4 linked regions of the Daphnia pulex genome follow. The protein of the gene in region 1 interacts with the protein of each later gene in a pairwise test. Links are inferred from orthologs where the notes say so. Each region holds a gene or a part of one and is shown on either strand. Other genes may lie near its edges. The genes, in order: huntingtin-like, WW domain-containing adapter protein with coiled-coil-like, cullin-5-like and dynactin subunit 2-like.

What was found.
Region 2: the proteins of huntingtin-like (region 1) and WW domain-containing adapter protein with coiled-coil-like interact in binary tests that used the Homo sapiens proteins (3 or more experiments, as listed by UniProt). The link is inferred for Daphnia pulex from reciprocal best matches to the Homo sapiens genes HTT and WAC.
Region 3: the proteins of huntingtin-like (region 1) and cullin-5-like interact in binary tests that used the Homo sapiens proteins (3 or more experiments, as listed by UniProt). The link is inferred for Daphnia pulex from reciprocal best matches to the Homo sapiens genes HTT and CUL5.
Region 4: the proteins of huntingtin-like (region 1) and dynactin subunit 2-like interact in binary tests that used the Homo sapiens proteins (3 or more experiments, as listed by UniProt). The link is inferred for Daphnia pulex from reciprocal best matches to the Homo sapiens genes HTT and DCTN2.

Annotation. Positions count from the first base shown.
Region 1 is NC_060020.1:1,037,733-1,045,948, forward strand, and holds the start of huntingtin-like, read left to right. Parts: upstream 1-2,970; 5' UTR 2,971-3,035; coding exon 3,036-3,302; intron 3,303-3,376; coding exon 3,377-3,501; intron 3,502-3,563; coding exon 3,564-3,859; intron 3,860-3,916; coding exon 3,917-4,119; intron 4,120-4,178; coding exon 4,179-4,359; intron 4,360-4,424; coding exon 4,425-4,696; intron 4,697-4,775; coding exon 4,776-4,989; intron 4,990-5,056; coding exon 5,057-5,482; intron 5,483-5,554; coding exon 5,555-5,877; intron 5,878-5,942; coding exon 5,943-6,138; intron 6,139-6,201; coding exon 6,202-6,599; intron 6,600-6,663; coding exon 6,664-6,849; intron 6,850-6,926; coding exon 6,927-7,108; intron 7,109-7,166; coding exon 7,167-7,293; intron 7,294-7,355; coding exon 7,356-7,516; intron 7,517-7,583; coding exon 7,584-7,732; intron 7,733-7,795; coding exon 7,796-7,929; intron 7,930-8,040; coding exon 8,041-8,216. Other genes in the region: SEC23-interacting protein-like, read right to left, coding at 2,594-2,609; uncharacterized protein LOC124192637, read left to right, coding at 336-404, 468-895, 1,128-1,284, 1,361-1,487, 1,555-1,725, 1,811-1,980.
Region 2 is NC_060020.1:4,240,500-4,248,623, forward strand, and holds WW domain-containing adapter protein with coiled-coil-like, read left to right. Parts: upstream 1-3,299; 5' UTR 3,300-3,485; coding exon 3,486-3,526; intron 3,527-3,654; coding exon 3,655-3,688; intron 3,689-4,280; coding exon 4,281-4,962; intron 4,963-5,132; coding exon 5,133-5,367; intron 5,368-5,463; coding exon 5,464-5,669; intron 5,670-5,741; coding exon 5,742-6,038; intron 6,039-6,150; coding exon 6,151-6,311; intron 6,312-6,390; coding exon 6,391-6,518; intron 6,519-6,591; coding exon 6,592-6,664; 3' UTR 6,665-7,247; downstream 7,248-8,124. Other genes in the region: 39S ribosomal protein L10, mitochondrial-like, read left to right, coding at 1,397-1,439, 1,514-1,581, 1,650-1,781, 1,842-1,952, 2,024-2,222, 2,282-2,520.
Region 3 is NC_060021.1:666,386-674,363, reverse strand, and holds cullin-5-like, read left to right. Parts: upstream 1-3,561; 5' UTR 3,562-3,695; coding exon 3,696-3,716; intron 3,717-3,886; coding exon 3,887-4,096; intron 4,097-4,179; coding exon 4,180-4,368; intron 4,369-4,435; coding exon 4,436-4,577; intron 4,578-4,638; coding exon 4,639-4,853; intron 4,854-4,919; coding exon 4,920-5,013; intron 5,014-5,092; coding exon 5,093-5,223; intron 5,224-5,288; coding exon 5,289-5,456; intron 5,457-5,550; coding exon 5,551-5,700; intron 5,701-5,794; coding exon 5,795-5,919; intron 5,920-5,978; coding exon 5,979-6,109; intron 6,110-6,173; coding exon 6,174-6,346; intron 6,347-6,486; coding exon 6,487-6,648; intron 6,649-6,736; coding exon 6,737-6,855; intron 6,856-6,921; coding exon 6,922-7,045; intron 7,046-7,111; coding exon 7,112-7,306; 3' UTR 7,307-7,473; downstream 7,474-7,978. Other genes in the region: glycosyltransferase 25 family member-like, read right to left, coding at 1-113, 177-296, 361-703, 788-1,016, 1,494-1,687; sorting nexin-12-like, read right to left, coding at 7,660-7,765, 7,825-7,949. UniProt on the Homo sapiens protein: Core component of multiple cullin-5-RING E3 ubiquitin-protein ligase complexes (ECS complexes, also named CRL5 complexes), which mediate the ubiquitination and subsequent proteasomal degradation of target proteins.
Region 4 is NC_060027.1:506,518-514,283, reverse strand, and holds dynactin subunit 2-like, read right to left. Parts: upstream 4,994-7,766; 5' UTR 4,869-4,993; coding exon 4,833-4,868; intron 4,772-4,832; coding exon 4,703-4,771; intron 4,640-4,702; coding exon 4,500-4,639; intron 4,443-4,499; coding exon 4,334-4,442; intron 4,279-4,333; coding exon 4,151-4,278; intron 4,095-4,150; coding exon 3,893-4,094; intron 3,824-3,892; coding exon 3,725-3,823; intron 3,643-3,724; coding exon 3,553-3,642; intron 3,492-3,552; coding exon 3,389-3,491; intron 3,321-3,388; coding exon 3,148-3,320; 3' UTR 3,061-3,147; downstream 1-3,060. Other genes in the region: probable serine hydrolase, read right to left, coding at 5,638-6,241, 6,312-6,432, 6,499-6,630, 6,728-6,803; uncharacterized protein LOC124207240, read right to left, coding at 7,688-7,766. UniProt on the Homo sapiens protein: Part of the dynactin complex that activates the molecular motor dynein for ultra-processive transport along microtubules. In the dynactin soulder domain, binds the ACTR1A filament and acts as a molecular ruler to determine the length.

The sequences.
Region 1 (8,216 bases):
CGATAGCGAGTTTATGGTAATTCTCCGCCGTATTTGAGTTGCATTGTTTTTCTTGGACGCTGCCACATCAGTTGAAAGGCCGACCAATCAGTCGGTTTGTTTGGTTTTGTCCGAGTAGATGTCGACGAAAAAAGAAAAACGACGCCCTCGCGACAATATATAACGTCCTGTAGTGATAAGGCCACCGAGGTAAGAGTCTATACCTCCCTTAGTCTCTCTCCCGCGTGTATATATATTCATTAGCAGCCCCAGATCGGGGCTCAGAGTACGCACGGACGTGGCATTTGAATCACACGAGTTGACTGGTGACTGACGAACGACCAATCGTCAACAAAATGAAACTCGTGATCGGTTTGGCGTTGGTTTCGCTAGCCTTCGGGTCGACTTTCTTCCCAACCGAAAAAGTAAGATTCACCTCAAGATGAAAGCGTTTAAAATTGGTTTTTATATAACGTTTTCCTATACAGGATGAAGTGGATTTAGTCTCGACGAGTCAAAACGATCAGGCGTCAGGTCGCATCGCCGTCCCGCCACCTAATAACCTCCGTAAGATCTTCTCAGACGTGTCTACTTATTTCATCCGCAATATAATCACGTCTTTATTGGCTTCAGCTCCGATTCGAAACGGCGGCATCGTCAACGCCGCACCGATTCTCAATCCTGTTGCATCGCCTATCGTCAACACGGGGACTGCGGGAGCACTTGTGGGCGGCGGGGCTTCACAGGTGTTTTTCTCGCCTGTCCGCATCAATATTGATCAGGCGTCGCAACTGTACGTGCCACCCGGAACAGATGGGCGCATTATAGTGCTGCTCAAAAACGACGGCGTAGGCGATTTCTTTCTCCTCAGCGGAGGCGACGACAAAAACTTTTTCATCCAATTCGACTACGCTCAGTATGTCATTCAATTTTGGGCAGACAGTGTTTTATAAAGACTGTCCACACCTGTTTTGGCTGACGATACTTCCGTTTCACTCTCACATCCTTCCTCCGTCCGTCACGTTACATCATTGTGTTTCGTCCAATCATCCGTTTAATTGTTCAATCTGACCCAATTCGACGCTTCTTGTTTTTACTTTGTACTTGGTCTAGTTCTATCTTTCCTTCTTTTCAAAATTGACACACAGGATACAATTGGGTCCGGGACAAACGCTAGCTGTTCCAGGAAGGATTCGAGTTCCCCATTATGCAAATAACGTTGTATCTACACTGACGATCATCGTGCAGCGGCGGACTGACAATGCTATCTCGCGGAGACAGGTTTATATTCGCACGAAATCAGAGGTAACAGTTCAGTTTTGTAGATTTTTGCGGAGAGAAACGGATTAAACTAAATTACATTTAAACATAATTTTTTAAGCCAGGAGAAAAATGGGCTCCTTGGTGCACAATCAGAACAGTGACTCGCTGCGACAGTTATCTGGATGAATCAATTTGCGCAAGTCGATATTGGAACATGAGAGCAGAGATTCAAGATACAGAAGCGGGTATTTAAAAATAAAGTTTTATACTGGGCTATTCTCGCTATAATCTGATTTCCCTGTTATTTGCTAGGGTTACTGTCCGTCAGCATCAAACCTGATGGGCGTTTTCTAGGGGAGGATTTCATAATTGGCACTAACGAATCGATTGCTGTAGAGCAAAGTGTTTCTTGCTGCACAACTGGAGTTGATATTACGGCAGTTGACGTTCGCGGAAATACAGCCACCTGTCGAGCCGATCAATGTAACTTGAAGAAAAAAAAAACTGACGCCTACCACGAATACCAATGCTCTATTGATCGAAACTGACGGATTTTTTTTTCTTGCAGATTCCATTTATCTTAGCTCTGGAGATGTAGCTGCCATCACTCTTGGAGTTATACTACTAATCCTGCTTCTAGTTATCATTATCCTGGCCATTTGTAGGTGCTGTAGACGGAGAAAGGAAAGATCAATAAAAACGGCACCAATTCCGAGGAGTAAAAAGGATCAAGCGTGACTAGCACGGTTCAGTCCCAAAAGGTCAAAGCCCAAAGATCTTTCAATTACTGTTACAACAGTTGGTGACAACTAGTAAAGGTGATTCAAAAGATGGGGCTGATTCGGATAACCACACTATGCAAATAGAAAGTAGGGACTGAACCAAACACAGGTGGTGGCTCACTTAATGTCTTAAGATATTGCATTAGGATTTAGAAAAAAGGACAAACATTTTTATGACAATGTTCACAGAGAAAGAGATATCCATGTTAAATTCAAACCAATGCATCTGTTTATAACAGAGCCATAAATTTTCCTTATTTTATTGAATAGTTTGTCTGCATGTATCACATAACTACTAGCAGCTAGTGTTTTCTATTATATTTCCTGTTCCCTGTTCATTCATTTGATTTTTTTCATATAAAACAAGGCTAGTTTGTGCGTAGTAATCCCATTTCAATGTTGAATGATTTAAAGTAATGCTTAAATAACTATTTTTGTTTCTGAGGTGATATATTTATCCCTCTCTGTTGAGTATAGTTAGTCGACTGGAAATTTTTCCTCATAACGGTTATTTTCTACGACTTTTACGTGGAACATTTATAACAATGAATCTATAAAATTTAACTTACTTGTGCTTTCCATCATTTTCGTTGGGTAAGAGTTTTGTACTGTTTTCTTTCACGAAATGAGTCACTATTTGACTCACGAGAGTCAAAGAATATATAGACTTTTACCCCCGTTGTCCGGCTGTCCTACAATTTTTTATTTCCTTCTGCTCTATATTTTGTTTACGAAATGAGAAGACGATGCCAGACTTTGAATAAAGATGTTTTTATCTGTTTTTTAAATTCCATTCCATTTTTGTTTTCATGTTCTGTGATTTTTTTGTAAGCATAGATTTATTTGAGAAATAATTATTAATAAGCTAACCGAATTTTGGTATCGAATGTATTTTTTCTACGCGAAACCTTTTCAAATACTAGAAACAATTTAACACTGAAACGTGGGATTGACAGCTGATCGTGAGTCTCAGAATACCGCGGAAGATTTCGTGTGTTGTTCGAGTTGTTGATGATGGCTTCTCTAGAAAGACTTATTAGAGCCCTTGAACAATTGCAGATTGTAGAAAATTCAAATTCTGATAACCATGTAAAGAAAAAAGAACTGAGAACACATCTACAAAACATTGTTGAATTTAACAATAGTCTTAACGTTCAAAACCACAAAGATTTTGTCTCGTACATCGGTCCGAGTATTGATTCCCTCATTAGACTGTGTGATTCCAAGGATTCTGACATTCGACTAGCAAGTGATGAAGGATTGTATAAAGTCATCAAGGTTTATCATCTGTTATTTTGTTAATTGGTTTCTGACAATTATTGAATTATTGTTATAATTTGGTTTATTTGTAGGCACTTCTTCCATTGCATAGTAACAGGATTCTAGTAGAATTATGCAAGCAGATAAAAAAAAGTGAATCTCCTCGTATATTGAAGTTGTCTATGACTAGATTTGCCGAACTTTGCCATCTAGCTCGGTATTTTTCATGTTTTGATTCCAACATTGAAACAATTCTAGTTAAATGTTGCACTTTTACAGGCCTCAGAAAAGACGTGCATACATAGCAAATCTTTTTAATGCCATATCAACAATTGCCAATCGCAAGGAAGAGATGCTTCATGAAAGCTTGTCTAATTTTGTTTGCAAAGTCTTTAATGTTATGGGAATATTTGCTTATGAAAATGAAACAAAGATTCTGTTAAAAGGATTTCTAGCAAATTTATCTTCTAGTTCTTCTATTATAAGAAGATGTGCAGCCAATGCCATCACAGTAATAATATCTACAAACAGAAAAAGTGATATTTTGTTGGCACTGGTTGTGGAATATTTAACAGGTATGCGCGTTGAGACTTTATAATGATTGCATTATTGTATTCTTGTTTGGTTTTTAGATCAAATCCTTTTGCCTGATGATATTTCCATGACAGATACACCAGTGATTATAGGAACTTTGCTAACTCTAAAATTGCTTCTTCCTCTTTTTCAATTATCATCTAATCAAACAAATGAAAATTTGAATACTAAACACCTGTCAGTTAGTCTTCCTAAAATCACTACCAGCTTGAACGCCGTGGCTTTAGAACGTATTGTTCAGGTATGTCACCTTAATTTTACTTTATCTTGATTTAAAATTAATTCGATACTTTTGGGCAGATATTTGAGCTTGGAGTTCACTATTCTTTCTCTTCGGATCATAATGTTGTTAACGCAGCGTTAGAACTCCTACAACAATTGCTGAAGATGCGGTCCCTTATCCTAGCGATTCCCTCCCTAAAAAGTGTAAATGGATTACAAGGGACTCGAATTTCTCTAAGAGGATTATCCAAAGAAAACAGTTAGCCTGATTCTTAAATCTCTTAAATTGTACCTATCTGATCTTCATCCGTGTTGTATATTTAGGTCAGTGGAACTTGACTGCGCTTCCAGTTGCGGAAGAGTCTCTTCTCTTGGAGGCGGAAGTTCATCTGGGCGAATTCGAAAAGACGAGCATGGATTCAACTGAAAGTGACGTAGAAATTGCAGAAGATTCGATTGCTGCACTTTCAGTCGACGAAAGAGAAGATTTTTCAAAAAGTTTGACTTTAAACGAAACCGATGTATTGGCTTCAGAGAAAGAACTGGAAGAAACTGATGTTGAGCCAGAAAACTGTGACGTCATTGATGCCCCACAGGTATAACGTGTGTTCGGATCGTTTTTTTTTTTCGTTATTTTCCTCACCTGAAATATGTGTTCTTTCAACGCAATTACAGGCAATCGACATAGGAACGCTGTATGATAAAACAGTATCCCCCCTTCTTTACTGCGCCCGCCATTTATCTTACAGTTTCTTGCTTTCCGAAAGAAAAGGCCAAATCAAGTCGGATCGATCTGTTCGTGTTTCAGTAAAAAGTCTAGCCCTCAATTGCTTGGCGCACATTGGATCACTGGAGCCTCTCATTTGGAATTCGCACTTATCAGACACAGGTGGTATTAAACATTAATGAAATGTTAAAACAAGTATTTAACTATTTTGCACGTTTTCCAAGTAAAGATGGGAAAATCGCGATAATTGATGTTCTCCAGTATAGCACACACGATGACCCACAATTAAGAGGGCAAGTGGCTCTGCTGGCGTGCATGGTGCTCAGCAATGTAATTGGTGGATTTGATTTAACCAGCGTTGAAAAAAGAACCCTCGTTCGCATCATTGATGAAACTCTAATTGATAAAGAGACAGCTGCTTCTCGCCTTGCTCTTCAAGGTCTACAGCACTTCCTACCTATGGCCTTAGAAGGCCCATTTTGCGTGGAAACTGTACCGCTTTTACGTTCATTGTTAAAACTCTCGGAAAATCCTTATTGGCTGGTAAGAGTAGATCTCTTAGAAGTGTTTGGTTCGTTTTCCTGGACAGCCTTGGAATTTGGGCTCCAGAATCAAACAAATTTCAAATTGCCGAAGTTCCAAGAGTGTTTCCTAAGTAAGTCCGACTAGTTTTATTATTTAAAATTGCTCTGAAATTTTTTGTTTATATTAATTATTGTTTCAACAGATAAATTTTTATTTACAATGATCGGCGACGAAGATCATCGAGTCCGAAGCGCGGTAGCAAATTGTCTTACTTGCTTGATGGAGTCATGGACTGTAGGAAGAAGTCCTTCAAATATTACTCGCGCTAAATGGTTGGCATCTGTCAGTGGTTCAACTCCACAAAAACTGCATGTAAAGACTTTTGCTGGTGTCCCCCTATCTATCAATGGATTGGCAGAAGCCTATTGGGATGTTTCATTGAACCAGAACGTCTCTGTCAACTTAGCTTATTTTGTCGATGAGATATTTCAACTACTTGTTTCTTCCAATTCAAAGTTTGTCAAGGTATTACAATTATTTACTAATAATGCACAAAATTTGAAAATAAAATTGTTGTTGTTCGATTTCAGATGGGCTGCCTGCAAAGTTTGTCTACCTTGAGCTGTTCTTATCCTCCCGCTACGTACTTGGAAGTTTACGGCTGTAGCTCAAAAGGAAATTGCAGTCTCTTGAAAGTATGCATGGCACTCCTGACAAACTCTACGTTGATGTTGGATCTAGTAACACACCAGACCCTAATCACACTTGCCACTCAGCTCTTTGCAGGTTTTTTTCTCATTTAATTTCTTTCTCATTAATTTCTTCTACATTCAATATTTCTTGGAATAGGATGTGTGAAAGCAGGTTTAAACGAACCCCAATTAGAGAAAGATTTTAAAGATTGGCGTTTTCTAAAGGGCCCTTCGTCTGCTACGGCGTCTTGCCTATTGGGTCATGCTACCCGTATATTAAATGCATTCTGCTGTGTTCTTGATGATGTCAATCCATTACTGGTTTCAATTAAAGTACCATTGGTGACGCTTCCAAACCCGTCCGCGTTAAGTCCAATACGTCGCAAACTTCGAAGCACTGAAAGTTTAATCTCAGATAAAGAAGATAAGTCAGATGAGTCCGGCCGTAAGAACAAACCACATTTGCTTAATCCAAGTAATGTCGGGTTTTTTGCTGCTCAACCTCTCTACGTGAAACTTTACGATTTACTGAAGAGTACGCACGCCACTTGCAAAGTATGTATTATTGGGGCTGTACATTTTTTTTTTGTATAGTAAATATTTATTTTCACAACTATAGCTGAATTTTGATACGATTACCTCGGAACGCTTGTCGAATTTTATCCAATCTACTTTGGAATTGCTAGCCGCTCTAATTGAAGTTTCCATTTTCCAAGATATTGGAAAACACAGCGAGGAGATTCTCAATTATTTACGCATCATTATTACAGCTGAACCAGTCTACTGTTTGCGCAACGTTCAACAGGTTGTATTTTTTTCTTTGTTAAAAAATAACCCTAATAGAATATTGATTTCAAAATTCTTTTGTGAATCAATCTTCAGTTACTTAAAGCGCTTTTTGGAGCCAATTTAGCAGCTGTCTGGTTTGACGAAGCAGCCCGATTTAAAAGAAGCGCAATTTCTTCAAGTTTGCAACCAACAGTGAAATGTGACGAGAGCATTTACTCGAGTTGTGGATTAGATGAATTATTGTATAACAGTGCTGGACGTCAAATGAATTTCAAGTAAGTTTTGTTAAAACATTTTATTTCTTCTCGTTTTCTATTTAAATTCATTTTTTAGCCGAAACAATGAAAGGCCAAATCTGATAACCAAATTTCGAACTTCTATAAACAAAATTGGCCCTGATAAAACTGCCTTGACTTCTTATATTCGCTTATTTGAGCCGATGGTCATCAAGGCCTTGAAGGTGAGTTTTAGCCATTCGCGTGTGTCCGTATTTCTACTAATAACATAAGTTTTTCATCAAAGTTGTACACCGTCACAAGCTGTCCACTAGTTCAAAAGCAAGTTTTGGATCTTCTTTGCGAATTGATCCATCTTTGCGTCAACTACTGCCTTCTCGATGCCGACCAGGTTTTTCTCAATTTTGTCATCCAACAGTTTGAGTTTCTAGAAGAAGGTTTCATACCGTAAGTGCTAGTTGATCTTTTTTTTATTGGTATTGATTTGACCATTTTCATTTTAATCTTTTATCAGGCAAGTCGAAACTCTGTTGCCCTCCATGTTTCGATTTTTGTCACTATTATCGTATGATCGCTTCCATTCAAAAACTATTATTTCTGTCCCACGCATTATGCAGCTTGCTGGTGGATTAATGGCTACTGGAAAGGATGCTGAACTGCACGGTAATCCCTTTGCGTGTTTTACTGATTTTGCTGTACGCATAACTTTAATTTTTAAATTTCTAGTGCTTCCCACATTGCAACCAATGGTCGAAGATTTGTTTCTTTCAAGAGAAAGAATGAGTGATAACTTTAAGGAACTTGAAACTCAGAAAGAAGTCCTTATAAATTTACTCATTCGGTTAATTCAGTATCACAAGGTATGTAGTTACTGCAAGTTAATTCTTTTTTTTTTCTTAATTTACTAGTCTTTGTGCAAATCAGTAAGTTTACCTATAAAAAAAATTTCATAATTGTAATCATATTTGCAGGTTTACCCTTTGATAACTGCTGTATTACTTCAAGTGCAGTTTGAAAATGCGAACAAATGGAAATCCCTCTCGAAGCAAATTTGTGATGCACTCATCCCGCAACTCAATAGGCATTCGCTATTTTTGGATTCAGACGAAGCCCTCCAAATGCTTCAAAAGCTGATTTCTCATATGGA
Region 2 (8,124 bases), about 3.2 Mb from region 1:
CATCAGCCAGCCAGAGCTTACAAGGGATTTTTTTAATTCTGTTAAAAATACAAAAATAAAAAAGCTCAAAGATTCCGAGGTGGACAGCAGAAAATCGGCGATCGACATTTTTTATTTCCCCCCGAGCGCCGATTGGAAAGTCGAAAAACTAGGAGGACCGACATTTATAGGAGAGGTAGTAGGCCCCTATGGGGATGTGTGTAGTAGAGAGAGTCAGATCACTTGGGCAACTGTACAAACACAACACGAGAGCGACCCCACACCTGGCGCTCCAACTTGTTTATTTTTTTTCTTCTTCTTCTTCTTCTTCCAGCCAAAGGTGTGTCCAGCATCGCGCGGACTGAATTGCCCTATAATGAGCGAGCAAGCGCTCGCCCGGCTGTGTGCCAGCCTCTCTTTTTGGCTGGTTTCCTTCCCATTTACGTCCTTTTTGTGAGTGTGTGTGTGTCCTGGCGCATACGAAAAGGCTAACGTGAGCATTCGGGGCACGTGTGCGAATGAGCCAGGCTAATCTGTCGATGACGCCCTCTTCTTGACTATGCTGCGCCGGACGCTAATATACATCGCAGCCTCTCGCGTCCAATCATGTCGGTCGACAGTCGACAAAAAAATAAAAGTAAAAAAGGTAAAAAAAGAAGTTTCCTGTGTCGAATCGGTGACTCATCCGTGTCGTATTTGGTTTAATCGATAGCGACAATCAACGAGAACATCCATAAACTGGATCGGTTTAGGCGAATCTAACAGGTATGCAATTCGTCATCACGTCGTTACGTTGGCAATGGGTCGAAAATTGGGCATAGAGTAGTCATTTTCCGGTTCATTGACATTCCCTCCGTGACACCAGAAATAAATTTGGCATTTTGATTCTACTGTCTAAAATCGGACAACCAGTTGATTACGTACAAGATGGAATTCAGACTCATTCCAGTCTTTCCTATTTTTCTATTTCTTTTTGCCAATTAGCTTTCTATTTTTTTTAGAATAAAATATGTAATAGTAATCGGATGGATTCCACTTAAATTTTCGCCACCAACACCCAAGGAAGGCCAGGATTTTCATCCTTTATTGTAGGACAATGTTTGTAATTGCACAAACAGTGCGCAAATTCGTGCCAAAAAGAAGTAATAAAACATGATTTTATTTATTTATGAATATAATCATATTCGTAATCATATACTGTTTTTAACCATTAATCTCTATCAAACTAAAATCTCGATTACACGACTTCTGCAGTTAAAAATTCTTTTTCAAATGGCGCCACTCGAATCGACATCTAGTAGACAAATAAGTGACTATGCCACTATCAATATCAGTGCCAATCGTCGTCTGCTTTGCACTTGATTTGTTTCTCAAATAATCGTGGTTAAGGTAATTTTTTAAAAAATAAGGCAGAATCATGTCTGTCATTGAATCCACTACCAGGCTCATAAATCTGCAAAGTAAGTCTTGAATAAGAATCATTTTTATTCTTGTTGTTAAAATGCTACATGTTCTAATTTATTGTAATTTGTAGGACTGTTGAAGCCCTGGATACCTACGACGACTGCAATTAGATGGAGAACAAGAAAACCAAATATCCAAGTAATATTGTGCACTTGATTTTGTATTTCCATTAGATTTTACTAACATGACCTTATTACTCACAACAGAGACCTATTCCAGATCATTATGTCAAAGCAAGATTCAAAGCTGCCCTTGAGCCCATATACCCAGATCCCCAGATGGACAAACCATGGTTCGAAAAGTGTGGCAATATTTGGCAAACTAAAGAAAAGGAAGAGGTAACAAAGTTTTACTTTTTAAGTCACATCAGCATTTCCATTAATATTATTTGTATTCAGACTTCCAAGTATGAGGAACTTTTGGCCAAAGAGTTTTATAAGAAATTCGCCGAATCACAGCTGATTGCTGTTTTTCATGAAAATTCCTCTAAAGCATATGAGCTAATTAAGGTTAGAATATTTATTTATTTTATTTTCTGCATTTTGTTGAATACCAATACACTAATACTTCTAATATCTAGATTAAACAAATGATACATGGTCACAACATGAAAATGGTCTTTGGAAGTAGAAAAATTGCCACTTTGGCTCTGGCTGGAACAGAGTTTGAGCCTGTTCTAAGATTACATGAAGGGAAAACTGCCTATTTGTGCAGTAAAGACCTTCATGTACCTAAACTTCTTAAATTTGTCAAGAAAATGAATCACTTGGTTCTTTTAGGTAAGCACAAATTTGACTAAGGTGTGTTGATGTAGTCTAATATTTCTTTCTCATTTTAGCTGGTGTAGTCCAAGGCAGGTTAATCACCAAAAGTCAGCTGCAATGGGTTGCCACTTTACCAGATATAAACATGCTGCGTGCTGAGCTCTGTTCAATCCTGTCCTCACACACAATTCAATTGAGCCAATCCCTGACATATCAACAGCAGCAATTAACACAGTCTCTGGAACAGCTTGTAAAAAAAGATAGTGAAACATCTACTGATGGAAGTGAAACATCTGCTGATGGAACAAGCTAAAAAAGTGTATTGCAGATACATTAGAGAAGATTAATACAGTGTTTAAAAAACTTGCCTGATTTTAAAACATCTATTCAATTGGAAGCTACCCACCCTAACCCCCCAAAAATACAGTTATGTATTTTTTTATCAGCCATTTTTCTCTTATTTCATTAAAATTTTTTTAGTTTTCAAACTATGTTCTAAATGGCATTAGTACAAAATTGCCATACAAAGAATAGCAAAGTTATACTAGATTTTTAAATGGCAGTTGTCAAAGAAAGGAAAATTATCCATGGCCTTGAATAATGACTTACTAAGCTAGCATTTGAGAAGGGCAAGATTCTGTATACAATGTTTATGAGATTTCTACACAATTCAATCAATGTGTGTGCACTGTGCAGGATCAGTCACATCAGTAACTTTTACTAAAATAGAAAAATACAATAAGAATAAATAAAAATGAACTCAAAGGTGGTTTTACTTAATTATCCTACGCACGGTGCAACACGGGGGAATAAAATGTTTCAAATATTCTTAAATTACGAGTTTCTCCTAACTTCAACATCCTACAATCTTTTGACAGATCGACAACACTACTACTAGTATTGGTATTGGGTATTTCCCTAAAAATGTGACGTTTCCACTTACACTACACATCGAGAGTGAGTAGACAACTACTGTCTAATAAGAGATGACATTGATATAGAAGACCGATAGAGAGCAAAAATTGCAAAATAGCGCACATGAACATTTGCACATCCAAGTTTTAATTAGTGAATGTGACAATGCTGTGTAAAAAGATATCGCCCTCTGGAGGACTGTTTATAGTAAAGTGGCAATGCTGTGTCTTGAGTGAGGGAGCCCGGATGTTATATGGCGTCTGGCCTTTTTGGAAACACTTAAACTTAAATTTCGTAAACTCGTTTCGTAGAAGAAAGAGCTGTTTCAGCTCTAAATCTAATCTCTTGTAGATCATTGCATTGATGGTAATGCATGCTAGAAAACTACCAAGACTGGATGATGGGTAAGATTTTTTTTTTGTACAATGTAGCCGAGTTCCCAAGTAAAACAAAATTCGTGACAGTTGATTCCGCCATATTTGTTGTAACTTATTTTGTTTTTATTGACGTTTTTTTTTTATTTTCGTTTCAGGTATTTCGATAAACATCAGTCCCACCCTTACCAGGTAAAGTACTGGTAAAATGAAGTAAACTTTTAAACTGAGAAAAGATGATTCGTAAACAATCAGAAACACTTTAGTGAACATCATAGTTTATAGTAGTCAAATTGAATTTTCTTTAATATTCTTTTTCTATCTTATAGAATTAACAAGTTTTATAAGTTGTTTACTATGAGATTCAGAATCCTCAATGAATATTCTTTTGAAAAATCATTATGTTGTTATTCTGTGTTCTCAATGCCATTTGGTAAACAATGGTAGCCAAACCTACAAGTAAATGACTTATCCTTCTTTCTTCTTGGTTTGAATGTTAAGTAAGGATTCTCTGTCTAGTTTTAGTGAACTTCTCGAAAGTAATTTATGGGATTCATCTTTATTTGATTGGCTAGGAAATTTTTTCTCTAACCACATCTGTAAACAAAGGGCACTCAAAGCAAATGACAGCTACATTGGACAATACAGTAGTGATATATTTGTTACAACCATACTTGGTTTAGGAAGTGTTTCAGTTGTAGAAGTGCAGATTTCTCATTGTTTATATCAAATTTTTATTTTGTTATTGTTACATTATTAATCATTGTTTTTTCTGTTATGACAGGCTAGTACCAAGTATAGTAATTCCAAAGGAAACTATGATCGATACAATGATCGAACACGCGACTCGCCTAACGGGACAGGGCTACGTTCTGATAGCCCCAACTCTTTTGGTGATAGCCCCAGAGACAGAAGCTATGTGCACAAAGGATCTTATACGCAACGGATACGGGATAAGGAGAGAGACAGAGACAATCGGTCTCCTCGTGAAAGAGAGCGACCAAGAGACTCAGATAGACGCAATAACCACGATCGAGGATCCACAGAGGAAAAGCCTCAACGAGTCGGTGATTGGACAGAACACGTCAGCTCGTCGGGAAAGAAATATTACTACAATTGTAAAACGGAAGTCTCTCAGTGGGAGAAACCTCGCGACTGGGTTGATTGGGAGAAGGAAAAGGAACATGAGCGCGACAGAGAGCGCTACAGACGTGATAGGGATCGTGATCGCGAACGAAAGTACGACCGGCAATCCTATTCGTCGTCTCGTAACAGTAGTAGTGGCCCGTCTGAAAGACATTCCAATTTTAGTCGTTCTGGTACTATGTCGAATAGTAACAACAATAGCAGTGGCAGTAGTAGCAATGTGGCATCATCTCGTTCAACGGAGAATCGAGATAATCATAGAACTCATCAGCCTCCGCCATCGGTGCCGGAACAGCCGCAGTCCAGAAGACACAGCTACGGTATGTTGTATAATGAATGAACAAAACTAGTTAAACTCTTACCGAACTTGGTAACTTATCATGTTGGCTTATTATCTAGTATGCAATCTGGTGTTTCAAACCTTTTTAACGTTGATTTCCATTCGGTCAAAGTGTTGCAATTGTTGAACAAGGTTAATTGTCTCGTTTAGAACGACCTAGCCAAGATATGGACATTTCCCCGGCGGATAGCACGCCGACTTCCGAGGCCTCCGGACCAAAAGTCGCCACACCTTACACGCCTGACCCACGGTTAACTCCGACCGCTGGTTCTGCTGCACCTGTTTCATTAGCTACTGCTCTGCCACGTCTACTGTCTCATCCACCGACCAGCACTCCAATTCAACTCATAAGACCCTCCTCTCAAACTCCAAATGCCTCGACAAGGTAATTTGTTGTCTTCGTCAGCTTGTGCTGATCAAAGAATTCGATGTTGTTAGATGAGAAGGATTACCTTGTTATTTGTCTTCGCTTTGATTCTAGTCGGGCTCCTAGTTTGATGTCGCCGTTACAGGCTGGCTCCTCCATGCCGACGACGACGTCGACTGCTACAACGACCAGTCTATCATCCCTCCAACAGCTTTTAACCCAGTTAACTCGATCATCTGTCTCAGGAACTGCCATCAATCCTGCGATACAGTCTATGCTTACGGCTACTCTCGGAAGAATGGGGAATATCACTGCTCTAGGTAATTTATGAAACGGTGTGGGAAAGTTTGTATTGAATGTGAATTGACGTTTCGAAATTTTTGTTCATCAAGGTTCGCTACAAAATTTGGAACACATGGAGCTTCCAGCACACGAAGTCTTGCAGTCCTTGCAGACGCTGCTCTCTTCTTCACAGATTGCTGTTCCCGCCTCGAATGTGGCGACACTACCAAAGAACATGAATTCGTTAGGAGTATCTTCTTCACACCTAACGGACGGTTGTCATGGTCTTTCCGCTCCGACGCCCCTGGAAGGTGATCCTGCCAACGGACCTCCTACGCCAACTCATTCGGAAAGACTTGAAGCAGATTTTCGTCGAGGTAATTCGACTATCCGATCCGACCTTGTTTGTAAGGAAGAGTATTTTTTTTAATTTTTAAATTTATTATTTTGGTCGGCTTCTGTTAAAAAGTAATTTAACGGTCGTAATCAGTTCTAATTTTTTTTTAAATTGCTAATTAGGGAGCCCAGCGACAAGTTTAAGTTCCCTCTCGGCGGCAGCGGCAAGTTTACGGCCATCTGCTGCATCCAGCCATGCTTTAACACCTTCACTAGCCTCCCATTATAGACCGGATTTGATTTCTCACGTGACCGGATGGCCCGCGGAGCTGTTAGAAAAACAGGTAAATATCTAAAAGCAAAGCAAACCTTTAAATTTTGTGTGTGTGTGTGTATTTTTAATGTTTCAATTTTCAATCAAAGGCGACGAAAGTGAGCGAAGATCTGCACACCATTGGCAATCTTCATGTAACTAAAGTATCGGCTGAACTGAAGATGGCGCGGTCTTTGGTCCGAGTAGCTGATATTCAAGCCACTCTGCAGGAGCAACGGTACGTGCAACGATTTTCTTTCATTTTAAGTTAATCCTGACCCTAACTGAAATTATTTCGTTTGGGAAAGCAGGATTCTCTTCTTAAGACAACAGATGAAGGAGTTGGAGGAATTAAAGCCGCCCAATCATTTTATGTCGGACTAAATTTTTTCTCTGCTGGAGGAAAAAATAGCTAGCTCGATTTTCTTTCGTCTTAAAACCAGAATAATATTTTTTTTTTTACTCTCGCGGAACCGTTTTGTATTTCCTCGGTGAAAACTTTTTTCTCTTTCTATCGATTCTTTCGGGGCGAAGTAACACATCAAAAGCCGGCCGTTGAAGGCACGTGTGTGCTGCGTTGAATGCATTGCGACTCAGAAGGATGTTGGTATCTCATCAGTAAGATAACAAAAGACGAGCCTGTCAGTGACAGAAGCTGTATTTATTCTCATGTAATTCTGTAGTTTCTACTGGTCGGGTCCGTAAACAAAAACAACAAAAAAAAAAGATTTAATTGCCAATTTTTCCATTCGCTCCGAATTAGTTTTGTTGTCTTGGCCTACTCCCTCGTTTGTATTGTTTCCCACCCGATTTCTTTCTTTTTTTGTCTGTGACGCAGTTTATAATTTTCCTCCCTTTTCTGTATAAAATTTTCGCCCTTCCTGGAGAAAAAAACATATTTCGTCCGCTTATTTCGACGTTGAAGTGTGATGTTCGTGTCGCCCTTATTGGGTGTTTAAAAAAAGAAGTGGAAAAGAACAAGACTATCTGCTCTTAAACAAAGTTGATTTTCGTATCAATTTTATTTCTGGGCTGGTTTTGAGCCCAATATTTTTGTTTTAAGTGATGCTGCAGCCTATGGCTATCATTCTGTTGGTTGCAATTTTCAATTCTGCATTCTCGATGGATTTTTCTGTGTCTTATCATTTATCATTCGTCGACTTTACTCCCTTTACAAGTCCAATCCGACTCGTACCAAGCCAAGAATAAAGAACACACCAAGAAAACAGTGCATCTCAGCTACCGGCTCTAACCCCGCGAAACAATTAAAGAAGGATCTGGGGTCGATTGCGTGATTCTCTACAACTTCTCCTGCCTGTCCTATTCCCCCCCTTCCTTCGGATGTTCCTGCGGTGCTGCCTCCCTGTTTCCACTTCTTATAAATAAGTTAAGTGCGTCTTCGCCAACTCGATTTAAGTCTCAAAAGCAGAAGTTGCGTATTTTAAACCGAGGGTGACGAATGGAGATCCTGCACGACCTGTGTATTGTATCGTTGATATGTTATCGAATTAATTTTTTTTTTTTATTATTATTTTTAAATATTTTTTTCTATCCTTTTTTATTCTGATAATTTTTAAGGAATACTGCGTTATTACGACCAGTACGAATCCCGTTTTGTTTAAACTGGCTCTATCCTCTGTCGCCCTTGATTTATTTTTCGGGGGTTCGTGTTAATTGAGCGAAAGAGAGCGTTACTTCTTTTTATACTCGAGTGACAATATACAGACGCCCATGCAGAAAAGTATTTCTAGCAATATGATTCACCCTTGTCAACGGCTTTTATAGATCGAAGCGTTAAAAGGATAGGCAACTGAATCTTTGACAGTCTCAGGCGTGAAATTTAT
Region 3 (7,978 bases), on another chromosome or scaffold:
CGGACGGCGCTCCAAATTGATGAGGAAAATTTCGTCAAAGCCCAGAGTGCTTTTGACTGGTGGCGTCACGAATTCCGTCAGCTGTTGGTGAGCAGACATGGTTGGGAAGTCCACTATACAAAAAGATGACATTACAAAAACAATCGTCTTATTTAATTAAAGAATTTATTATTTACCCGAAGCTTCCAGCATGATGTTGGTCAACTGGGCGTAGTCATCTTCGATCGTCATAGTCTCGTCGAGTGGTGAGAGAAGGTAGCCAAACTTGATTTGATTGCAAATGTACACTGGAACATCTGAATAAACAATCCCAAAAATGAAATGAAATGTAATGTTATTTAGTGACAAGGCATAACGTACCAGTCCAGTATCCGGAAATGGCAAAGGTGATGACGTCATCGTGAGGCCCGTTGTAGCCGTTGATTTTATCGGGTTTGAACGTGAGCCGCTGGGATTCGACTTGACGGAGATCAACCATGAAACAGGAATGGACGACTATGACGCGATGGCAGCCTTTGTTTTCACGCTCGCGGATCGGTTTGTACTCATCGGTTCGTCGGTAATAATAGTCCAGGCCCATTCCGCACCAGTAATTGGAATACAGACTTAGCGTGTCGAGCATGGGTGCGACGACAGGGTAATTCGTGTTGACCATAATCTTCAGCGTTTGGTTGTTTGTCAGGAAAACATCACAGTCGACAAACTATACAAACAAAGGGCGTGGACGTGTTAGTTATTATGTCCACTTTTAAATCCCTAAATATTTAGACGTGTTTTAACAATTTACCCAAACGAAATCGGCCCAAAGTTCTCGCCCTTTATCCAGGGCTTCTTCTCTTAAATTGATTATGTGTTTGAATCGCTCCTCGGTCCAATTGGTTGGGATTTTATCATCGACTGCGGAAGGGGAGGTAGTGGTCAATTCGTGATAAATGTGGTGGTAGGATTTTTCGACAGAAGAAACCCATTTGTTCATAATCTCCAGACTCTGATCTTGGTTCTGATCGCTCTTGATCCTGTTGGGGCAATGTTGACAAATCAACATCAAAAATTGTGTTATTAATTGACATTATTATATGAAATATGTGAGTCAGCGGTTTCATGCAACATTTTTTTGTTTGTATTACTAGTCCACCATGAAGGGTACACAGATAGAGGAAGCTTCCATTTATTTTTATAAACGCTGTGTGGGCAGTGTCATAGACAAAGGAAAGTTTTAGAGCAAATGTTTTAAATGACTTCCTTCACCAACGAAGCATTGATAAAAGTAATACGCCATGGTCTGGGCTTGGAAATTCTAGAAAGTTTAAGTAGGTCTTCCTACACACATGTACGGCCATCCACTTTCACCCAGAATAAAACAAGATCATCGCTGAGCAGTATAGAAAAAGCCACTCACCAACATTGTTAAAAAGAATGGACACAATTAAGAAACATTGGAACAAGAGGAAAAGATGGAGAGAAAAATTTTTGAAGAATAATCAACACTTTACCATAATGTCAATCTATTTTTGGGGTAGTCCAACTCTTCGAATAATTTTAAGAAATAGGGTAGGGTGTGAGCTTTGTTTCTGACGAGCAAAGTAACGAGAACAGTGGGATCATCGCGAAAGGTGGCCTGTGTGCAGCTTGCAAATAAAAAGACGCAAAGTCCCACTGTAATAAACTCCCCGATGGACGTTCTCATTCTCTTAAGGAAGCGAGCTGCCACGTTGACGCCACGAGTAAGAATGAAGTCGGGACTAGGACTCAAATGTTTCTCAAGGGTAGAGTGCACGAAATACGATCTATGTCTGATAAGGAATTTTACATCTGCTGCAACGATTTCCCCCCTCCGTCCACGTTTAGAAAAACTTTTTGACGCACCCCTCGAGACTGTCGACAACAGAAGACGGGAGTCTGGGACGATTTGTTTAGAAACAAAGAGTCCGCGCAATTTCTAATCATTCCGTCGTGTGAGCTTTTCCCCCATTTATACAACACGATATCAAGTGAAAGCAGCGGTTTACACGACTCTTACTCGACCAAGTTTAATTTTTGAAATTTATTAACTCTTGATCGTGAGTTTTCCCGATTTTGAATATATCAGAAATATCCACAAGATGATGTAGGAATGTTATAGAAATCGGAAACGAACTCTAGCGCCGTTTCTGTGCGACTTCTGCTGGCTTATGTGAACACATAGCGTAACACACACATATTAAAAAAGCCGGACGCTGACCGGGGCATCTGTCTCTGAGGAGAATATAAAAGAAAAAGAGAAATCTAAACATTGGAAAAGCTTCTCTAGTTCTCTTTACACGGTTCCAGCGTTTTCTGGAAAATTTGATGCGGGGGGTGGGAAAATCAAATAAGAGATAATTCGATTTTAAAAAAAATGCATTTCTCAAATAGTAGATTCCGATTTATTTAAGCGAAAACAAAAATTTTTGTTTATGACATGCGAGACGGGTGGATGATTCGACATGGTACGTTCTTGATTACAAAAATTTGCGGTTACATTCGTACTGGGCAATTCTGACTGCTCTTGGAAAGCCAGACATTATACAAGATTGACGCAATTCTTCTTTATAAGGTTTTTAAAAAAAAATGGAGAACGAGGCTTGAATACGGACGAAAATATCTTCAATGCTCATTTGCATTTTTGCTTTTAGCGATTGTCGAATAATGAAAACAAAATAGTCCGCGTAGTTTTATAGGATCTTGATAAGAACATCAGCAGCAGAAAAATTTAACTCTTCTGATGTAGTACTCATCGGCGTTTTCTTTTGATATGTAATGTTAACATTTTTGTTTTGGAAATCATTTTTGTAAGGTCATATCGAGATTAAGCCTTGGAAAGAGGAAAAACAACTATTTATAGAGATTGAGTAGCCTGCAGCAAGCAATTGAAAGGGAGTGCGGAAATTGACTGTTTTGTTTGCGTACTATCAAAGCAGCTTGTGATCAAAGTAACCTTGATACGTGCGTATAATAATAATGTTGAATGCCACATCAATTATCACATTCACTACCAGTTGCAGTTTAATTATAAGCTGTAGCCGGTCCTGCAAGTATACTTGGCCAAATGCGTCTCACGTACGCTTTTATCATGAGTAAACGAGGAAATAACGTGAAGTGGAAGAACAGACGGGGATAGCCTGGGAACTGGGATAGTAGCCATAACATATTAATGTAGCATTGACGCAACAGCCATGATGAGCTGCCCACCATCTACTGGTTGCAAGAGTACTTACTAAATGTTGGATAAATATGAGAGACACATTTTAGCCACAGATAAATTCCTCGATCCATCCGGATAGATGATAGATAAGACTCAGATCTCAACGAAATTAATATAAATTCGAAATCTTTAACTACGAGACATAATAAAAAGTCAGCGACAAAATTTTTACTAATTAGTTTTAAATACTTGTGTCGCTTATGTTCTTGATTCACTAGTCAGTGGTCGTTACCACACAAATAGATGAAGAATCAAACAAAGCAATAAATCCAAGCCCGTTTCTATGCGCTCATTGGCGCTCGTTAAAAAATCAAAATTCAAAAAGGTCATGGCAGATGTCGTGGCAAGACGGGGCTTCAGTCCGGTATTCCGATTAACCGGTTAACTTCGACAGCCTACTGGTAGAGTGTGTGTGTGAGCCGATGTTAAGAACAGGAGCACTGAAAAACGGCTAGACCATCAAGAAATAGAAATGGCAGCATCAATGTGGAAGGTAAATAAAGAACTAGTAAATGTTTTTATTTGTTATGAGAAAGAAATATCAAGTCTTTAGATTATGCACTTGCAAGTAGTGTCATGATTCATAACCTCATCAACAAATTCGTCGATCGAAATATATCGCATCAACATTAACCAATTAAAATATGTTTTCTTACTTTTAAGGATAAAGGACAATTGGTATTTGAAGAACAATGGCCTCTTATGAGACCAACAATTTTGAAACTGTTACGTCAAGAGCCTGTTAGTCGAGCTGAATGGCATGAACTGTTTTGGTCTGTACACATGGTGTGTTTGTGGGATGAAAAATCACATGCCAAAATGTACAAGGCATTGCAGGATGATATTCTGGAATTCATCAAGCAAGCACAGACAGTAAGTTACATATTCCTGTTGCAATCGGTGTAAATGATTAAAATAATTGAGATGCATCTATTAATCCTCTTTGTTTATATCAGAGAGTACTAACTCATGAAGAAGACCAGTCACTGTTGAGGGCTTACATCAGTGAATGGCGTAAATTTTTTACCCAGTGCTCATATTTGCCCATGCCTTTCTTCCAGCTTGAAACTGCACTTCAAGGTAAAACACACAACTCAATACAGAAAAAGCCCCAGCAAAACACTGATGACAGTCTAGTCAGAAAGGTAAACAATAAATACATTTTTAATGAATAACTTGTTTTTTGATAAATATTTTGTTTCTGTGTTTTAGCTAATGTTGGATTCCTGGAACTTTAGTATTTTCTCCAACATTAAAAACCGATTACAAGACTCAGCAATGAAATTAGTCCATGCTGAAAGAAATGGAGAAGCCTTTGACTCACAGTTGGTCATTGGAGTGAGAGAGTCCTATGGTAAAACATTTCTATGGCAAGATATTGTTTCAACTGCTTAATATTTACTTACTTCCTGCAGTTAACCTTTGTTCAAATTCTGAAGATAAGTTGACCATTTATATGGATAACTTTGAGAGGGCTTATATAGATTCCACCGAAGCTTTTTACAAGTTGAAAGCTCCTCAATATTTGGAAATCAATGGTGTTCAGAATTACATGAGATACGCAGAATCGAAACTACGCGAAGAGGAGCAGCGAGCCAATAAATATCTAGAATCGTGTTCCATTGCTACTGTACTAATGGCTTTTTATTACTTATTTTAAGATTTGGTTATAATTTTTTTAAATCTTTCTTTCAAGCTTAACGGATGTTGCGTAAATGTCTTGGTGACAGCCTTCAAGGAAACCATTCTAGCTGAATGTTCTTCTATGATTAAGCAAGACGAAACTCAAAGTATGTTTACCACATTTAATATTGAAAATTTACAGTGTCGTAGGTGGAGTTTGAGTAACATTTAAATTTTTAATCACAGAATTGCGTATGATGTTCCGGTTGATGGATCGAGTCTCCGATGGAATTGCACCTATGCTAAAATATTTAGAAGATCACATTATTCACGCAGGATTGGCGGATATGATGGTGGCAGCTGAATTAATTACTCAAGTACATTGATAGACTAGTGTTAATGTCTTCATGACTCATTCATAATTTTTTAATGCTATTGGTAGGATTCTGAAAAATATGTGGAACGACTTTTGACACTGTTCAATCAGTTTAGCCTCTTGGTTAAGGAAGCTTTCGACGATGACCCGCGGTTCCTTACTGCTCGTGATAAAGCTTATAAACATGTTGTGAATGATACTTCAGTCTTTCGATTAGATTTACCCACTCGATTGGTAATTTCCTGTTTCTGTTTACCTTTGCTTTATGCCAAAAAAATTTTTCCGTTGACATTAAACTAACACTTTAAAATTAAAATTGTGTTTTCAGCAAGGACCTGGCTCCAGTGGAGGAGTCAAAACCCAACCTGAATCTCGTTGCCCAGAGCTGCTAGCTAATTTCTGTGACATGCTTCTGCGTAAGACACCTTTAAGCAAAAAACTCACTTCCGATGAAATTGAAAGCAAACTAAAGGATGTGGTAAGATAAAAAAAAGTTGGTGTTGTCACGCTAGCATAGTAATGTTTTCGTTTGATTAAATAATTATTCATATGCTTCATTTGTTGCCATTTAGCTACTTGTTCTGAAATACGTTCAAAACAAAGATGTGTTCATGCGGTTCCACAAAGCGCATTTAACTAGAAGATTGATCTTGGACACCTCAGCTGACAGCGAAAAAGAAGAAAACATGGTTGAATGGTACACTAACTAATTTTTACGTTCATTTTGCATTTTTTACAATTATTTTCATGAAAAAGGTTGAGAGAAGTTGGCATGCCAGCCGACTATGTTCACAAGCTTGCCCGTATGTTCCAAGATATCAAGATCAGCGAAGACTTGAATCAACAATTCAAAGAGGAATATAGGAAGACCAAAGGAAGCATTGCTGGTAATACCTCATAGAAAGGGCGCATAAGTTAACATAAAGATTAATTTTTTTAAACGATTACCAGACTCGATTAACATTAAAATCCTGAATGCTGGAGCTTGGGCTCGTGGATCTGACCGAGTGACAGTGTCGTTGCCGTTGGAGTTAGAAGACTACATACCAGAAGTGGAAGATTTCTACAGGAAAAAGCATAGTGGACGAAAACTTCAGTGGCATCATCATATGTCAAATGGAACTGTGAGTCTTCCTTATAATTTATAAATTATTTAAAATTCTTCACATCCAGATCTTTGGAAGAAATAATCAATCACCGAATATGTGATTATCGTTACTTAATACCGAGTGCAGCCGATTCTAAACCTTGTATTTCATTTTAGATTCAGTTTGCCAATTCAGTTGGAAGATTTGATCTGGATGTTACAACATTTCAAATGGCTGTCCTATTTGCGTGGAACGAACGACCGAAAGAAAAAATTTCTCTTGAAAACTTGCGTTTAGCAACTGAGTTGCCTGATGCGGAACTTCGACGAACTCTTGGGGTATACAAATGTTTTAAAATTGTTTACAAATGTTTAGAATTGGAATAATTATTCACATTTGATTTTATGGAATGACATGGTTTTTCAGTCTTTGGTGGCTTTTCCAAAACTGAAACGACAGTTGTTAATATGCCAACCGGAAGTCCAATCCGCAAGAGATTTCACTGAAAACTCTATTTTTTCTGTCAATCAAGACTTCAGTCTAATGTACGTCTTTTTTTAAATCGTAGTTTATATTAATTAAAAAATTAAATCTATATGTTTCAATCGCAGAAAAAATGGAAAAGTTCAAAAGCGGGGTAAGATTAATTTAATTGGTCGTCTCCAGCTGTCTACCGAGAAAAGTAAAGAAGAAGAAAACGAAGGCATTGTACAGTTGCGCATTTTGCGCACTCAGGTATAAAAGAATTTCAACAAAATTTAGTATCGTTAACCTTATAAATTTGGTCATTTACGTTTTCAGGAGGCTATAGTCAAAATTCTGAAAATGAGGAAACAGATTAGCAATGCCCAGTTGCAAACTGAGCTTGTTGAAATTTTGAAGAATCTTTTCATCCCCTCGAAGAAAATGATAAAAGAACAAGTGGAGTGGCTGATAGAACATCGTTACATGAAACGTTCTGAAAAGGATATTAATACCTTTATTTATCTAGCCTAATAATAACAATATTACTGAAACTGTACAGTTGAATCTAATTAAGTTTCATATGTACATCTTTCTTCTCTTTTGCAATTTCTCTTAACTCCTTACTTATTCCTTGGTCAAGCCAAAATCCTGTCGTGTAAATATTTTCGATAAAAATAAAATTGCGATCGGCGATGTCATGATGCAGTGTAATCGCGTTGACGGAACAATTCAGATCTTCACAATTTTATAGCACTGACAGTTTTAAAGACGCTACGAATGTATTCACGATAAATTCATTATAACCAACAGAAGGGAAAGAGGATGTTAAAGAGAAACAGGTAATGAAGGAATGAGTGACAACTTTCATCTGGTATAACCACAAGTTAGTTAGGTCGGATCTTGCCTGGTACATAGTTCTTATCAATCACTGGCTCTTGGAGAAACATATGGAGGCAGCGTTCATTCTGTGCTAGCGGATGTCCTGCAATTCTGTAAATTATTTGAGTAAGTTTAGGTTGTGATGCTTGAATGTTAATATAGAAACACACTTGTTCACAAATCCTTCAAGAGATTTACGCCTGTCTTCAATGAATTCTTCATCATAGATACCATCATCATTTCTAAATGGGAGCTGGCGTTTGATTGCTTTTCCAGGTAGAGGTGGAACCACAATCTGAAAAAAAAAATTTGAACCGGTATTAA
Region 4 (7,766 bases), on another chromosome or scaffold:
CAAAAACATACCCGTATTAAACCTTTTTTTTCTCATTTAAGATCAACAATTGATTCCCAGCGACCAATCACCATGAAAATAACCGATACATATAAATAACCCCGAGTAGAAATTTCGGCTCTAATAATAAGGAATTTCCATGTAGAAAATTGCGGAATCGTAGTTTGGGGTGTTATTCGGCTGCGTTAGTGGTGTAGTAACTCGGGGCAAAGAAGTGCTTTGGGAGCTTCGGTGTAGGATTTGGTAGTAACGAAAGTAGTGATGTAATATTCGGATGCCTTTGGTGGTGTAGTCCTTTGGAACATCAGTGCAGTACTCTGGAGCAGCGTGGGTTGTAGTGAAGTAAACTGGAGCCTTGGTGTAGTACTCCACTCCCTGCGTGGTGTAGTACTCCTCTCCCTGCGTGGTGTAGTACTCCGCTCCCTGCGTGGTGTAGTACTCCGCTCCCTTCGTTAGTATGTAGGTGTTGACGTTGTTGTTTGGTAAGGAGGCGGTATAGTGAAGGTAGTGAAGTTCGGGGAAGAAAAATACTTCGGAGATTCTGCGTAGTAGCTCGGGCCAACATAAACTGGGGTGGCATCAGTTACGGTTTAATACTCTGAAGCCTTGGTGGTGTAGCACTTGGGGGCCTCAGTGTAGCATCCGGTTGTTGCGTATGTTGTTGTTGAAGTCCGCCGCACCCAGGAGAAATCGGCACACCAGTGGTCGATCCAGCCATCGACGATACGACACCCAACAGCAGCACGACGCCATAGTTCCCTAGACAATTAATAAATTTTAACATTTAATTTCCTATTATGGTACTGGTTTATTAACAAATAGAAATAAAGTATAGTTGATTCAGTACCCTATGGGGAAATTTTACCTTCATTTAAAACTTGTGATACGACGAAGAATGAAGTTGATGACAAAAAGTGCACGGCAGTTCCTGTTGCTGTGACGGAGATGTTCACTCGGCTGCTGAATTATTTCACCTTTTCTCTCCTCTCATACTACTAGGCAATGAATAATTTGTATATTTTGTTCTTGGCATAATAAAACTCCACTTAACAGAATATTTACCCATGATATGTGGTTGTGTAGTACTACGGTGCTTTGGTGGTGTAGTACTTTGGAGCATCCGTGTAGTAATCGACCCTTTGGTAGTGTAGCTCGGGGAAGAAAAATACTGCGGGGATTCGGTGTAGTAGCTCAGGGCTGCATAAGTTGTTATATATTAACCTGGAGCCTTGGTGCAATACTTAAAGGCCTTGGTGTAGCAACTGGTCGTGTCGTATGTTGTGTAATAGTGGCGGCGTTGCGATTTGTTATCCGCCATACCCAGGAGACATCGCTACACCAGTGGCTGAACCAGCCATCAACGATACAAGACCCAACAGCAGCACGACGCCATAGTTTACTAGACAATTAAAAATTTGAACATTAATATGAAATTATAACTGGCATGTTAACACATAGAAATTTGATTCACAACTCCATGTAAAAATGTTTACCCATGATATCAAACTGGCAATGCGATGAAGAATGCAGTTGGTAAAGATAAGTGTGTAAAGTGTATAAATGTAAAGAAGAGCACAGTTGGTAACGAGTAACGACTAGTAACTGGTAACAGCACGGCGCCATAATTAACTAGAAACTTTAAAAAAATTTAACTTTAATATTTAATTATAGTACTGGGATATCAACATATAGAAAAAAGTGGAATGATTAACAACGTTAAAAACTACAGGTTAGAAACAGAATATCTACCCATGATTAAAACTGGTAACGCGAAGAAGAATGCAGCTGGTGACAAATGGTGCACTGCTGCTCTTGCATATCGGAGATGTTCACTCGACTGATTTCTATCGCCTTTTCTTTGCCCCTATACACGACTAGACATTGAATAATTTAAATATTAATGCGCAAAAATAACTGGCATATTAACAAAGAGAAAACGCAATAGAAATTGATACATGACTCCATGTAACAACAGAAAATTTACCTATGATTGAGAACTGATAATACGATGAAGAATGCAGCTGATGGCAAATAGCGCACTGCAGCTCTTACCGTGTCGGAGGTACTCGCTCGACTGATCCCTGTCGATTTTTCTCTCTCCTTTTATACGACTTTTTCTCACCCCTCCTCTTAAGCCTTGCGGTTATTTTACCTTCTTGATAATGATGTAAAATGTCCCGTTCTCGCCCAACCTCTACACCACTGCATGACACGTTTTACGTAAAGATCTCCATGACCTTCGATTGAAATGCAAACTGGCCTTTCCTTTTGCAGGTGACGTTGCTGGGGATGGGTCTACAAAAACCAAAATCAAAATGAATACCAAATAGTTTACCTTTGCGGCTTTTGTACCTGCTTTGATAATGACGAAACACGTGTTATTCTCACCCAACCTCTACACCACCGCATGCCAGTTTTACGTAATGATCTCCGTGACCTTCGAGAGTGAAGGAAATGCAAACTCGCCTTTCCTTCTTTAGGTTGACGTTGCTGGGGATGGGTCTACAAAAATCAAAATGAATACCAAATAGCTTACCCTTGCGGCTATTGACCCTGCTTTGATAATGACGAAACACTGTTATTCTCACCCAACCTCTACACCACCGCATTGATAGTTTTACACGTAATGTTTCCCGCGACCTTCAAGCGAGAAGGACATCCTATCTGGACAAACTGGCCAACCTGTCTGCAGGTTGATTTGCATGCAAAAAATCACAGCGAAGATATGCAAAAAAAATGTAACGAATCTAAAATTCCTCACACATGTTGACTGCAAAGTTACCTCGAGTATGAGTGAGGATTCCCCAGAGTCAGGTGATAAAAACTGCGGCTAGTGAGCTAAGTTCTAGTGGCAATTATAAGAGATACCTACGTATATACTTACGCGTAGAGTACGGACCGTACTCTAATTGTAACCGTACTGTACGGTTGCAATTTACAAATAACCGATGGCAACGAAATCCAACTGTCTTTTGAAACTGTTTGACGGGAAAGCGTAGCCTGTACTCCTGTTTTAAAGTGTCTGAGTTAACACATCGCACTAATAAAAATACATCACACTTTGGTAATCATTCATTTTATGGTAAATTTTTGACAATAAGTTGAATCAAATTATAGATAAGAGATTAGGTAAATAAGACAACAACTTCACTTGCGTGACAGTTTATCATCTAATTTTTGAATAGAAGCTTTCATTGCTTGGACATTTGTAGACAATCCTTCTTGGATATCCGTTAATAGCTGAAGTTGATTTTGGATTGCCAGATCTAAGTTGGATTGCATACTTTCGACTTGGCCGATAGTTTGGGAAAAGTTGACAGCTATGAAATAAATAATTTTTAAATGAAATTAAAACTAACCATCAAATATGTTTGTTTTAAATAGTTACCGCCATCATGGAGCACTTTCAAAGAAGACAAACGATCAACAACTGAAGGTAATAGAGATATCAAAGGCTCTAGCTGCTTCACAACTTCATACAGTTCTTTAACCTACCAATAGCAATGTAAAAATTTTTATTATAATCACTGATCAATCGATAAAATTACATACCATTCTTGATACATTGCTGTCTTCAATGGGTCCATGTTCCTTGGCTATGCCATTAAGTTTAGACATCAAGACAGCAAGACGACCTTCAACCTAATGGTCAACAAATATTTATATGGCTGTCAATTTGTCACTGGTACATAACTAAAAAATACTCAATAATTAGTGCAATTACCTGGTCTAGGTGAGCTGGTTCTAAAAGAGCTACCTTGGAACATATTGATCTAACAGCATCACTCACACATTTTTGCCCAGTTTCCGCACAAAGCTGATTCTAAAAGTAAAAATTAAACATCAGTGGTTTCACTTCAAAATAATGAAAAGAAGTTTAACAAAAGGTTACCATCTTATCAGGGACCCCAAATAAACTTTCCAGTTTTTCCAGTCTCTGTAGCATATTGGCTTCTTTGGAAGCAAGATCTAGCTTAATCTGTTGTGGTTTAAACTGCAACTGGTAAACAATCTTGGATGGGTCAGTTGTAGAAAGTTTGCCCTGATCATCACCTGCTGTTTTTCCAACAGTTTCCAGATCCTCAAAAATTTTTCTGTAATTAAAATCATTTAAATAAAGGGGTTTACACATTTATTAATAATCTGTAACCTTTTTGTAGAAAGCTCTGGTTTAGGGAAGCCAACTTCATCTATTTTAATTTCCATTAGTTGTTTCTGAAGAAATGCAACTTGCATGGCTAAGTTGCTAGGATCCCCTGATTCTTCAGATCCAGTAACCTAAATAATCAACAGCTCATTTACAATACACAGTTTAGAGTTTAAAGAATATTACAGATTGTTGAACTTCTTGTTGGAGTTCCACAACTTCACACTTGAGACGGTTTAGCTTTTCAATAGGAGATTCTTTTTCACCTTCTGCTTGCAACTCATATGGTCCATTCCTAGGATATAATTACAAATGTGTAAACCAAGACTAAAAAGAAATCTATTGTACCAACCAAGAAGTATAACCAGCATTGTGTTTTACACCAATCTTTCCCGAGAAATCTGCTTTCTGAGATGACAACCAGTGCCCTTGAAATTTTGCATAAGACTCTGTGACATTTGTATTGAGCTTTTCAACACAATCACTCTGATCCTACATTGTTATGTGATAATATTACCAGAATCTAATTTTTAGGCATGTAATAGTCTGGTTTACTTGGTTATTAAGGTTGGAGAATGACTCAGACACGTCTTCAGACTCATAATAATCAGGTTGGTCATACGCCTATTAGACGAAAATAACATCTTTAGCAATAAAAACACGTGATTTGATTATAACTGATTACGATTCCAGGCAGTGCGGCGTATTTGGGATCAGCCATTTTAAACAATTTTAGGAACACCTGTCGTCTGGAGTTGTCACAGAAAATTGACAAATAATTTACTTTGATAAACAGCAGAGTCCAACGCCCTACCTTTCCATCTGCCACTTCTGAGTCATAATAAGAAATTGGGTGTTTTTCAGCGCCTCTGTGGGCCGCAATCAGCACTAAGGAAAAGAAACCACAAATCCGAAAGAACCCGTCTACTTTTTTTTTTAAATCGAAAAACCGTCAGCCGTCAGTATCACACTGCATTCCTGCGCGATGCAATGATGAATATTGATGAATTAAATGAAATAACAGATAATTCCATATAGTATCGCATCTTGTATTTCTTGACTGTCTTGAAACCCTTTCCAAAAATAAATAAAATATCCGCTCTAGCCTAGTTGCAGTGTTGCACTCTTCGATGCTGTTCATGTTCAATTCATCACATAGAAAGATGATATCTAAAATCCAACGTATTACATCATTTCGTTATCTCAAACAATGATTGTAATCTATGTCTCAAAATTATCCCCCTCACCATAGAGCACTGACGTCATAAAAAAATCCAAGTTAGTCAGAGGAATAGAAATTTATATGTAAAATAATTCGACTTAATAATAACGTAGACTTTTAAATTTGTCATTACGACGTAACTAATGTACCTGTAAGTAGAAAAATTAGAGCGCAGAAGGGTTGCGAATATAACTCATTGCAAACAACCTGTATTTAACAACCTATGGGCGGTTTTGTTTAATTTGTGTGGCACAAATTCAAACCCGAATTAGAGTTTAGATTTCACAGGAAACAGAAAATTACTAATTATGGGAGCAACCAACTCTGGATGAGATAGATGGACGTGGTGTCTACCTTCAACTTCTACGTAACGAAAATCTTCGCTGGCATCGCGGTAGATATCGTAAAACTCCCGATACAATTCTTTTGGTTCAAACGTTGAAGTGTTTTTAGCTTTTATAAGCAAAAACGGACATACGATAGCACGAGCCACTGCTTTTAGCTGTTCAGTAGTAAAGTCATTAAAAAGATACGGACGAACGGTAGAGCGCAAATCGCGAGTGAATTCATATTCATCTTCGTCACTTAATTTACGCAAACCGCGCTTAAGAAGGACATCAGCATCTTTCTCGTCAATGGATCCACCGTAATTCTTGACAACTCTTTCGCGAGCATCCTCGTAAGACACAGATGATAAGGGTCCCTGTTGGAGTCTTTCAACAATTTCTTGAAAATTGGTTAAAACACCCTTCATACGAGCAGGTAGGTATTCAGCAGAGGATGAAAGTTGTTTGACTGCATCAAGGCTGATGAGCTTATCCACTAATTCTGAGTACATGGAAACAAAGAAAATGGCAGTAATTGCTCCCATGCTATATTCCAATAAATAAAAAGAATTTGATTAAAGAATTGTTTAACTTCAATGTCCAATTAAGTTAATACCTGTGTCCCAAAATGTTTACTTTTTTCCACTTGAAATAATCTATCACTAGTTTTACATGATAGACATGATCATAATAGTTGAGAAACATTCCTGGTGGGTAATGTGACGAAAGACCATGACCTAATTAAATGAGAAAATCTCAATACACGACAGATGAAACAATTATTAATATTTAGTTATTGTTACCACAAAAATCAAGGCAAACTAGTCTGATATTCGATGGAAGCAGAGGAGCAAGAGTGTCAAACGTTCCTGCATTATCCTGCCATCCATGAAGTGCCAAAACAGGAACACCATCATCAGGCCCCCATACCTTGGCTTAGTTAAAATAAATACAATGATAGTGTTTTCAAGTTTCTAATAAAAGTACTTAACAGTTCTTCTCCCTAAAACACTTCTATTCTTATATAACCACCTGCAAGGTATCCCCAAAGTGTTGGAATTTGAATTTCTTCTTTAAAAATCAGTCCTCGTTCAACCGTTGGTTCCATTGCGAGTTTTGATCCTTCACCAATTTCTGATAAACTAGTTGATTTAAGAAACGGCCCAAGCTATCATTATCACAACATGACTTTCAATTATTTATCTCCTGTGTCAGCCTGTCAGGTCCTTTGCACTGGTTCGTGAGTGTTGTAGACTTGTAGTCTGCATTGGCGTGAAGCAGACGAAATACCGAAATAAGCCAAGAAACCTAGGGACCAATCAGAAACTCGGATTCCTGTGATTGAACAACGTAAAATAGCAGCGGCTTCCTAGTTTTTGTAAAAAGGAAAAAAAAAAAAAAAAAAAACAGCTACATCTCCTTACTATGTCAGAACATTCATTTTACACATTTGATTGTTCAATGACATTTTATTTGGCGAAAACATTAAGTGGATTCGATTGTGTTGATTTATTCGAATCACCGAGATCTGTTGTGTGATTCTCAAACATTCTTTGAGAAATTCGGGATCGTAACGCATTGCACCGAACCAATCGTTTCTTCCAGGATTCACTGTTGCTTTGGACATCATTGTTTTCACAACTAGCTGTTCCTAAAAGTGAGTAATTCTTGGAAATTAACTAGGGAAATTATCGACTGTTTCAATTTTTTATTACTTTGGGCTTATTAGAAGCTTATTTATTTTTACATCAAGCGGCTATTCCAGTAAAGCTTCTTCCTTTCTTTGCGCAAACCATCCATGGTACCTGAAAGAGCCAGAAATTCAAAGATAAATGTTTAAGGATTATTCAAGGAAGTATTCCAATAATAATTTACCTCAACTTGCTAGACATTGCTCATTTCAGCGTTCGCTCGGTGGAACGCAGCTTCAATTTGTAATCTTCTTTCGAATTTTTCAATTTCTTGGTTGTCTGGTTATTTCTTGGTTATCTTCTAATAATCTATAAAACGGCGGCATGATGAACATAAATTGGAACCAGCTATTTCCATGCGCATTTTTGAGCGCCACAAA